2 linked regions of the Rattus norvegicus genome follow. The protein of the gene in region 1 interacts with the protein of each later gene in a biochemical or structural test. Links are inferred from orthologs where the notes say so. Each region holds a gene or a part of one and is shown on either strand. Other genes may lie near its edges. The genes, in order: Itpr1 and Cabp1.

Evidence for each region.
Region 2: the proteins of Itpr1 (region 1) and Cabp1 form a complex in vitro, tested with the Homo sapiens proteins (2 studies listed by BioGRID). The link is inferred for Rattus norvegicus from reciprocal best matches to the Homo sapiens genes ITPR1 and CABP1.

The regions. Positions count from the first base shown.
Region 1 is NC_086022.1:142,741,841-142,746,417, reverse strand, and holds the start of Itpr1 (inositol 1,4,5-trisphosphate receptor type 1), read right to left. Parts: upstream 2,979-4,577; 5' UTR 2,827-2,978; intron 1,978-2,826; 5' UTR 1,908-1,977; intron 1-1,907. UniProt on the Homo sapiens protein: Inositol 1,4,5-trisphosphate-gated calcium channel that, upon inositol 1,4,5-trisphosphate binding, mediates calcium release from the endoplasmic reticulum (ER).
Region 2 is NC_086030.1:47,083,906-47,088,352, forward strand, and holds the start of Cabp1 (calcium-binding protein 1), read left to right. Parts: upstream 1-1,386; 5' UTR 1,387-1,449; coding exon 1,450-2,043; intron 2,044-4,447. UniProt on the Homo sapiens protein: Modulates calcium-dependent activity of inositol 1,4,5-triphosphate receptors (ITPRs). Inhibits agonist-induced intracellular calcium signaling.

The sequences.
Region 1 (4,577 bases):
AGAGTGAGTCTTTCGGAACATAAAGAACTTGCCCTGCTCGGATAGAAGGAAATCTTGATGGGATTTTCTGTTTCGAATTGATGTAGTCAAGGAGCAAATTATACGTTCAATGTATACTCATAACATGCATACATCCACATGACTGAAGAAGAAATGGAGAAGAAAAACACTGCATACAACTAGCAACCAGGCAAACCAGAGACCACAGGACAAGCTACCAACATTCCACAGGTTGAACTGAAGCAGTTTAAGATTTCCAATTATTCAGCTAGAGACACACCTGACTCTTTCAACCTGCTCAGGTGCCTTGATGGGAATGACCAAAAGCTACTCCAACTATGAGCCAGGACTAACACTGCACGTAGACACTGGGTTTCCTCTGGTTTTCCTTCTTAACTGTCCTGATTCAAGCTTTCAAAACACACACACACACACACACACACACACACACACACACACACACACACACACACACACAGAGCTTTTCTAACATGAATTCAGCCCAACATTAAATCCTCCTACAAATAACTACATTCTTTTATCCCTGCCAAGGGCTGTATCATTTCCTTCTTACATCAAACTAAATAGCTGGTACATTGTTGGTGAGACATAAATCAGAGTTAAGGCATTAAGAGCAATGGGTTCACTATTTTTCCTAGCATCTCTCTCTCTCTCTCCCCATAAACTTAAGCACAAGTGGTACACATTACTGCCTGGGCTGCCCAGTGACTTCATTCTGAATCTCGGTTTCTTCACCCGTATCTAAGGTCTTCTGTGATATACAGCTTTGCACCTGGCTTGCTCTAACCTAATGGGACAGCCTCATTATTTTTAGGCAAAAGATAGAGAAGAGTCTGTGGACCAGTTAACGGTGTCTGTAGCATACTTCAAAGAGAAGACTGACCCCTCTTTGATCAACACAGACATTAGTCCATAGGAGAACTAGCCTTCCCATCCAAATGTTTCCCACTCCACCAGTACTCCTGAGGACCTTATCAACAGGAAACAAAAGCACTGTGCTACCATAATGAAGTATCTGGCTTTCATTCACTAATTAGAAAAGCCCAAAGATTGTAGCCCAGGGAACAGCTAAATATTTAGGACATTAAAGAAGTTACCAAGGACCAGCTGCCCACAGCTCCCCACTCCTATTAACCTGTTGTTTACTCAATTACCAGACATTTTAGAAGAAAAAACTTGATAGACAAACCTGAAACCATAGGGGCGTCTGTGTACCTACAGAGAGAGGCTTTATTTTCTAGGAATGGGCTGTGATAAATGTCATTATATTGACAGAAACACTGCCCTCAGCCCCTCATCCGGGAACAGGTACCAAAGCAAGAGAAGCACGCTGGGTTCCTTGATATGCAGGTGGCTCCTGTGAAATCCTGGAAGCTACAGTGGTATTCTTTAAGCTCTTACTTCCTGTTAAGTTCTCATTCTTTCAATTTGTCGCTTTCATTTCTTGCAACCCAGCCCACTCTGGTTACGTGGTGAAAGCCCACGACAGAACAGAACCAAGTGACAGTTTGTGAAAGGGAGGAGTATCTCACTTTTGCTTAGGGATCTTGGCAAACGAAAAGTTCTGCATCTTTGGGAGTCTAAATAATGAGGGTGCCTTTCAGGCTGGTAAGGGACCACCCACTTTACAATCTACCGCAATTTACTGCTTGTTGCTGTTGCTTACCCACCACCCCTTTACCCCCATGCTTCGATTCTAAGCAACCTTCAAAAGTAGCTGTCACTGGATCTTTACTCAAGACCATGACCAATTTTGACCACAGTTTCTTTCTCTTCCCTACTCTACCTCTATGTACGTTACAAGCGGAGTTACAAAATGCTTAGGACAAAACAAACAAACAAACAAACAAACATTCTTGACTACAGAACTCAGCTCCCACACTCACCTGACCCAGGTCAGGCACTCTGTAGCCAATGGACTCCCAGCCAAGGATGCAAATCCTTTGTAGTCAGCTCCTAAATATTTACAAAGAAAGAAGACTGAGTATGGGATCTTGCGACGGTCTATCAGAATGTTCCCAAAGACAGGTTTCGACTTTTTTAGTCTCCGTTCGCTTTTCCTGCAGATCCCACTCCCCACCTCCAAATTTAGCAGTCAAGTTGGAGGGATCTCTTGCCCCCAGATAAAAGCAACCCCAGCATGCTTATTTCCCGTCCGGAGCTGACCAGAAAGATCAGGCACGCAGAAACTTCGAATACGATGGGGGGGTGGGGGGAAGAGACTGTGGACGAAAGGAAGTGTTGAGATCCCAAAGCACTTGTTTCCCCGCGTGGAGGCCAAGTATGTGAAACCCGCGTCCTCATTGGGCACGAGCTCCGTCCACACTTCTCTCATCGCTCCCGCCCCTGCTTCCTCCGGTTTTCTTCCTTTTTTTTTAAACCCACGGGGGCCCCCACGCATGCATTATCCTACCAGCCAAGCAGCGCAACAGGGCTAGCTACATTTTTAGAAAGATTATTTCCTTGAGCAAACTCATATGACACCCCCTCAAATACCCCCCCAGGGGGGAAAACTATTTCCTGCAAACACTCCAGCCGTTTCCAACTTGGGGGAATGCCATTTCAGTACGGGGAAGGAGGTTGAAGCCGGTCACTAGAGTCGAGGACATTTGGGGTTACTTAAGCCTGAAAAAAAAAATCAGACCGCCTCCCAAAACTGCTCGCAGGGAAAGAAGCCCCAAAATACACGCCAAGTGCATAAGTGCATGCAAAGCCACCAAGAACTCCCAGTGATCAGGGCAAAAACTTCAGCGCACGGGAGCCAGTGCCAACTCCCCGAGCCCTCTGCCCGGCCCCAGCAGCTACCTTGGTGACCGGGGAGCCACGCCGGTTTGAGGGATCAGGACCAGGACAGGGGTTAGCAGCCGCTGGGCAATCCCATGTCCGCGAAGAGGGAGCTCGTTCCGTTAGGATGGGAGCGGAACACCCACACCTCCTCTCGGCGTGCGCTTTCTCTCTCTCCACCCCCTGCCTCCACCTCCTCCACCACCACCTCCTCCTCCTCTCCTCCCACCCCGGCAGGCTTGAGGAAACGCTTCAGCAGAACATCCACATGGTTACTGCACTTTGAAGCAGCTCCCGGCCGCTTATATAGGCCCGGAAGCTCCCTGGGCAATGTAGTCCGATTCCCAGGTCCTGCCGGCGCCTGGGGCTGCGCAGAAGGACTACAAGTCCCAGAATGCCCTGGGCTCTGGGGCTGGGTTCTAAATAGACTCCCGCGCACTGACCAGGGTCGGGGGAGGGGCGCCGAGCGGGAAGGCTGGGGCTGCGAACCTGTGTCTAAGCAGCGAACTCCCCAGGTTTGGCAAGCCCGATCCACAGGGTGTCCCTTACCCCTGTGAACCCTTCTCTTTTGACTGTCCCTTTTCTAAAGTCAGGTGTCACTAGGGGCCAGAGAGAGAGGAAGAGCTCGGATTACTACTTTGGGAAGTTTTTACAAGCTGTTTACCCACCCCCGCGCGTCCTGTGTCCTGGAGCCAAGAATTTCAGAAATCCGAGGCACAAAAACGCCAGTGTTTTGCGGTCAAGGATTAAAGAAGCAAGTTTGTCTTTATTAAATCTGTTCCAGTTCTTTATTGGATCCTGCTAGTGTCTGCATGAAAAGTCTGGCAATGAGGTGGTCCCTGCTATCGAGGATGCGGGGTAATCGTGTGAAAGCCCTTTTCTGAATCCGAGCTGTGTCTGTCTTTCGTCGCCCGGTGGGAGGTAAAAGGAACGCAACCCTTTCGAGTGAGCAAATAAAGGAACCATGTTGTGACTTGGCTGATGTTGTGATCGCGAAGCAGGAAAGAAATACAAACCGCGACCTGGTCCTGACCCCGCTTCTAGGACCCCTTTGCTCCTGGAATCTGTAAATGCTCAAGTAAATAAACCGCAAACCAGAAAAATAAGGGCTTCAGAGAAAGCGGCTATACTAAGATGTGTGCGTCCAGGCGAGGTGTGCTGCAAGTCTTCAACCCAAGCCTCTGGGCTGAAATGGGTTTCAACACACCACAAATAAGTGTAGGCTCCAGCCTGCAAAGTGCTTAGAACTTTGGCTTTTGAAAGAAGAGTTTGAATCGCAGGCAAAGTTATCCCACTGTCTCCCTCCGCATCCCACCTCCCACCCCCCACCCCGCCCAAACCAGACTGCAAGTATTCATTCCACAAACGTTCCCCGGTGTCATCTGGGTGCCAGGCCAGGCATGGTGCCAGGATATGAGAGTGCGCCAAAGTATATCATAACATCCTAAATGGGGTCTGTCTGCTACCGCTAAAGACCTACTAACAGCAGTCCTTGTTATGAAAACAAATGGTTCTACAGAGCTCAGCCCATGTCCTCTTTCTGTACATCATGCTATTGTGTTTTACCGATTCTGGGTTTGTTATCTCTGCGCAGTAGAAACCAGGTTAACTTCCGGTCTCCATTGCAACTCCAACCTGTACCTATACCGAGGACTTGCCCTTCAGGACCTCCATCACCCCTTCCTTAAAGGACCCCCTCCTTCCATTTCAGGAGCAGCCTATAAGCCCTTCGGCAAACCACTGTCATCTCTGTACCCCAGTTTTGCCATCTA
Region 2 (4,447 bases), on another chromosome or scaffold:
CCAGCCTGGCCTAGAACTCTTTATTCTCATCCTCCTGTTTGTAACTCCCAAGGGATTACAGACGTGTGCGCGCGTGTGTGTGTGTGTGTGTGTGTGTGCGTGCGTGCGTGCGTGCGTGCTTGCGTGCACAGGCACGAGCCACCACACCCAGGTTTTCTTTTTCTTTCTTTTTTTTTTTTTTCCTCAAGAGTCAAAATATTTAAACAGGTTCTTACTCCGAAGCCCAAGCTGGCCTCCAGGTCGTAGCAATCCTGCTGGGATTGCGGGCCTGTGCCACCACATCCCAATCCACCTTTCTTGCACGTGTCCATGCAGAAAAGAGGGTCCTCCTCGAAGCCCGCGTTCTTTTGGGAGTCTGACCATCGATCCTAAAGAGGCTAAGCAGTGAGCAGGATGTAGGGACGGAGCATGGGCAGAGTCTAGAACACAGAGGTCCTCACCTCCAAATCTTAACTCCCCTACTACTTAGCACCTTGGTACAAGGGCCTCAGGAGGTACAGACCAGATAGAGGCTGCTCACCGCATGGGCGCCCTGTCCCAGCTCCCGCTCGGGTCTTTCGTGTGCACCGTGTCTTCTGATGTCACCCCGAAATTAGTTTGAAAGAATCATTTGCGCTTCACAGAAGAGAGGAAACAGGCTCAGGGAGGGTGATGACACTTGCCCAAGCTACCCAGATGGGGCAAGCCGCAGAGCTGGGATTTAAGATTGAAACCAGCCCAGTGTGACTTCCTGGCTGCCTACCAAGGGCAGGAGTCTCTCTACAGCTAGAAGGGCAGGAGGTGGTTGGACAGAGAAAGAAGCATAGCAAGTAGGTCCTACCTGGAATTTGACCACCACCACGAACTTCCAGGACAGGTAGCTGCAGCCAGACGCCACCTGGCTCCTCTTGGGTCAACTGTAAATTCTGTGGCTGGCTTGCCTGGGCAATCCTAGTCCCGATTACACTGTGTGGAAGGCGGATGAAAGCGGCATAGGTACACTCCTAGCTTTATCCTTCCAGGTCATCTGGTTCCTGCGTTTGTCTGGGTGGTGTCACAGAGTGCCTGCCTCCTGGCTGATCCTCTAGCGTCCTGCACCCCTTTGGTCCTATGGCCAAAGTTGTTCTCTCTGGAAAGTTCACCCTTGCTTGACTTTGGGGGCGACCGGCCAATCCGGGGCACTGAGGGATCCTCCGGGAATGATAAGGGGCTCCGCCAGTCTCCTTGGGGGAGGTTAGCCAGCCCCTTCCCTCGTGCTCCTGTTCAGTGCCGCAGCGCCCCCTTGGCCACCAGAGGCGCCCGGAAGCGGGACTCCCTGAGCGCGGGGCGGGGCGAGGGGCGGGGCGCGGCGGCACCTGGGCCGCGGGAGAGCCGGGGGTGGGCTCTCGGGGGACAGCAGGCTGCCCCCCCAGATCCGCAGCGCCGGCCGCCGGGAGCTCGAGGCTCCGGGCGCAGAGGCTGCGCTGTCACATGGGCGGCGGCGACGGGGCCGCATTTAAGCGGCCAGGGGACGGCGCCCGCCTGCAGCGCGTCCTCGGGCTCGGCTCCCGCCGGGCGCCCCGCTCCCTGCCCTCCGGGGGCCCCGCGCCACCCCCGCCGGGCCATGCGAGCGCGGGCCCCGCCGCGATGAGCTCGCACATCGCCAAGAGCGAGTCCAAGACGTCGCTGCTCAAGGCGGCGGCGGCGAGCGGGGGCAGCCGGGCTCCCCGCCACAGCTCTGCGCGGGACCCCGGGCTGCGTGGCCGCAGGCTGCCCGGTCCCTGCCCCGACTCGCCTGCAACGTGCGGGGACCCCAGCTCGCGGAGGCCCCTGTGCCGGCCGGTGCCGCGGGACGAGGGCGCGCGCGGGAGCCGGCGTGGGCTGCCCCAGGCGCACTGCAGGCCCCGGGAGACGCTACCGCCGGCCCGCGGGCGCGATGGGGAGGAACGGGGGCTGGCGCCGGCTCTCAGTCTACGGGGCTCCCTGCGATCGCGGGGTCGCGGGGACCCGGCTCCCGCTGGCACCCCCGAGGCGGACCCGTTCCTCCACCAGCTGCGCCCCATGCTCAGCTCCGCCTTCGGTCAGGTAAGGGCCGCGCCCCTCGCCCGCGCTCGGGGCACCGGCGCTCGGGACCCTACGGCGGCGGCGCGTCCCCGGCCCTGCTCGCTCTGCCCAGTCGGGGCGCACCTCGGCTCATCCTGTCCTCCCGCGGCCCTGGCACTCCGCCACCCCCGTGTCTGATTCAGCACCCTGTGCGCTGTCCACACTCCGGGCCTCTTCCTGAGCTCTGCTCAGCCGAGCCTGCCTCGCACCTGCAGGAGCGACCTCCGCAATCCTCCCCGGAGATTTTCCGGGGTCGTGAGCAGCGCTTGGAGCAGGCGGCGCCAACCCGCTCCTCTGGCCTCTGGCGACCCAAAGGAGCGAAGGGCTTGCAGTCTGAGCGGCAGAGGGGAGGACCTGGGAGTCCGCTGAGTTGTTTGCATATGAATTTCTAATAGCCGTGACTTAGAGTGTCTTCAAAGGTCTGGAGAAAGTTAGGGGATTGGAAAAATGGGGAGGAGAAGAGATGTCTGGGCAGGCATGAAGGGTCTGCCCAGGGCTACGGCTCTATCTGGAACTTGAGAATGTTTTAGGAAAGGTGGTATTCCAGGGATGCCATCTGGATGACAGTTAGGCAATTGTGGGATAAGACCGAGAAAATGTAAGCCTGAGTTCTTGTGTCTAGGGTCAGGAAGGCCACTAAGAGGTCACCGGCGACTCGTTTTTGTTCCTCGCACGCCTTTGCCCGCAAGGACTCCAGTCAGCCAGGCGTTTACAAACAGCTCAAGGCTACAGTGGGGGGTTGTGTCGCAGGGGAGACAGGAACCCTTGAACTTCTGAGCGAAGCCAAGATTTCCTCTAGTTCCGAGCCTGTAATTGAATCGAACTCACGGAGGGAGGCAGTTCAGCAGAGGCGCTGAACTGCAGAATGCTGGCTGGCATGGTTTTAGACGCAGGGGGTCTAAGCGTTTCTGTGGCAGGATCTAAGGCAAAGATAACCACCTCAAGCTCCCGGCTTGCTGTGCGGGATCAGTACTACAAGGAGGCCGCGTGTGTTTTGCTTCAGATCTGCTCACTTCTTTTCAAAAATACTACTCTGCAGTGGCTAATGCAGGTGGAGCTCTGTCATGAAGGCAGCTGCACGTGGATTCGGGTTGCACGGGACTGCTGGGATGGTGTGATGGGGCCAGCCGCACAAGGCTTTGTTCCTGCAGGGAGCCCTGTTAGCGGTGCTCAGGAGTAGAGGTTTGGACGCAGAGCCCTGCGAGCCAGAGCCTGGCTCCGTGCCAGGGAAGATGCTCACTGCAGTGGTTTGTGTGTTCCAAGGAGCGGAAGCATGTTAGGAGCGATCTATGGGTCTGGACTGGGTTGTCACCCAAACGCTGTGTCGTGAGTGGGGAATTTTGATTCACTCAGTTACCAAGCATTTCTTGAACGCCCACTTTCTCCAGGCATTGGTGGTCCACTAGGAAGGGAGCAGGGGGGTAGTCAAGATCTGGGCTGTTTTGGAGCTTTTGACCCAGCAGTTTGGAAGGTGCCCAGTCACAGGCTGATTATTCAACTTGCTATCGATCTGGGAGCGGGGTGGGGGAAGGACCGTTGCTTCCCCACCCTTGCAGCATTTGCCTGCAGAGGCCCCAGTCTGAGCTCAGAGCCTTTCGACCGTCTGCTCCTCACCTCCTCCAACCGCTCAGCCATTAAGTGGAGACTATTCTCCAGCCCCAGGTTCTGAAATGTCACAGGGTCACTTGAGTCACGAGGAGTTGGAAGGTCCCATGAAATATTTACTACCTCCCTCTGGAAGCTCTTGCCTCTCAGAGCCGAAGACTTTCTGCCCCCCCCCCGCTACCCCTCCCCCCAAGCACATTCAGTTTGAGTTTCCTGTGACTCCTCTAAGGGATCAAGACGACAAACCCAGCTGGGGGGGATTTGTGTCAAGAGCCTCCGGTCTCCTTTGACCAGGAGGAAGTAGTCTTTCCTTGCTATCTCTGTCTTGCATTGAACATTCTGTCCTTAGAGACAGGGTGGAGACTTAAGAAGGCAAGGTGGGGTCCTGAATGCAGAAAGTTCCGGGTGGACCCACTTAGGGCAGAGTGTATTTTGTTCAGGCCGTTAACTTATTTATCCATTTTTTGACCTTTTTTTTTTTTGAACCATTATCTCATCTGGGCTTTTATTTATTTGGGGGGAAAAAAGAGAGAGAGATGAATTATAGTGTCTCAAGGAGAATTTGGGAAGTTAAACGATTTACGCAGGCCCCTGTATAAAGCTGGGTCCACTGTGTGCCACCAAGCCAGGGCTGTGTCTATGTCCGTGTTGCTGATACCAATTAACTATAAGGTCGCCTTCCTTCTGCTTGTAGTAGCAGCAGAGCGAGCTAGGCAGGATTGGGCATAGTAGAGCTATCCAGATAGACTCTCCACACTGGGGAAAGTGGGAAGCAAGATCC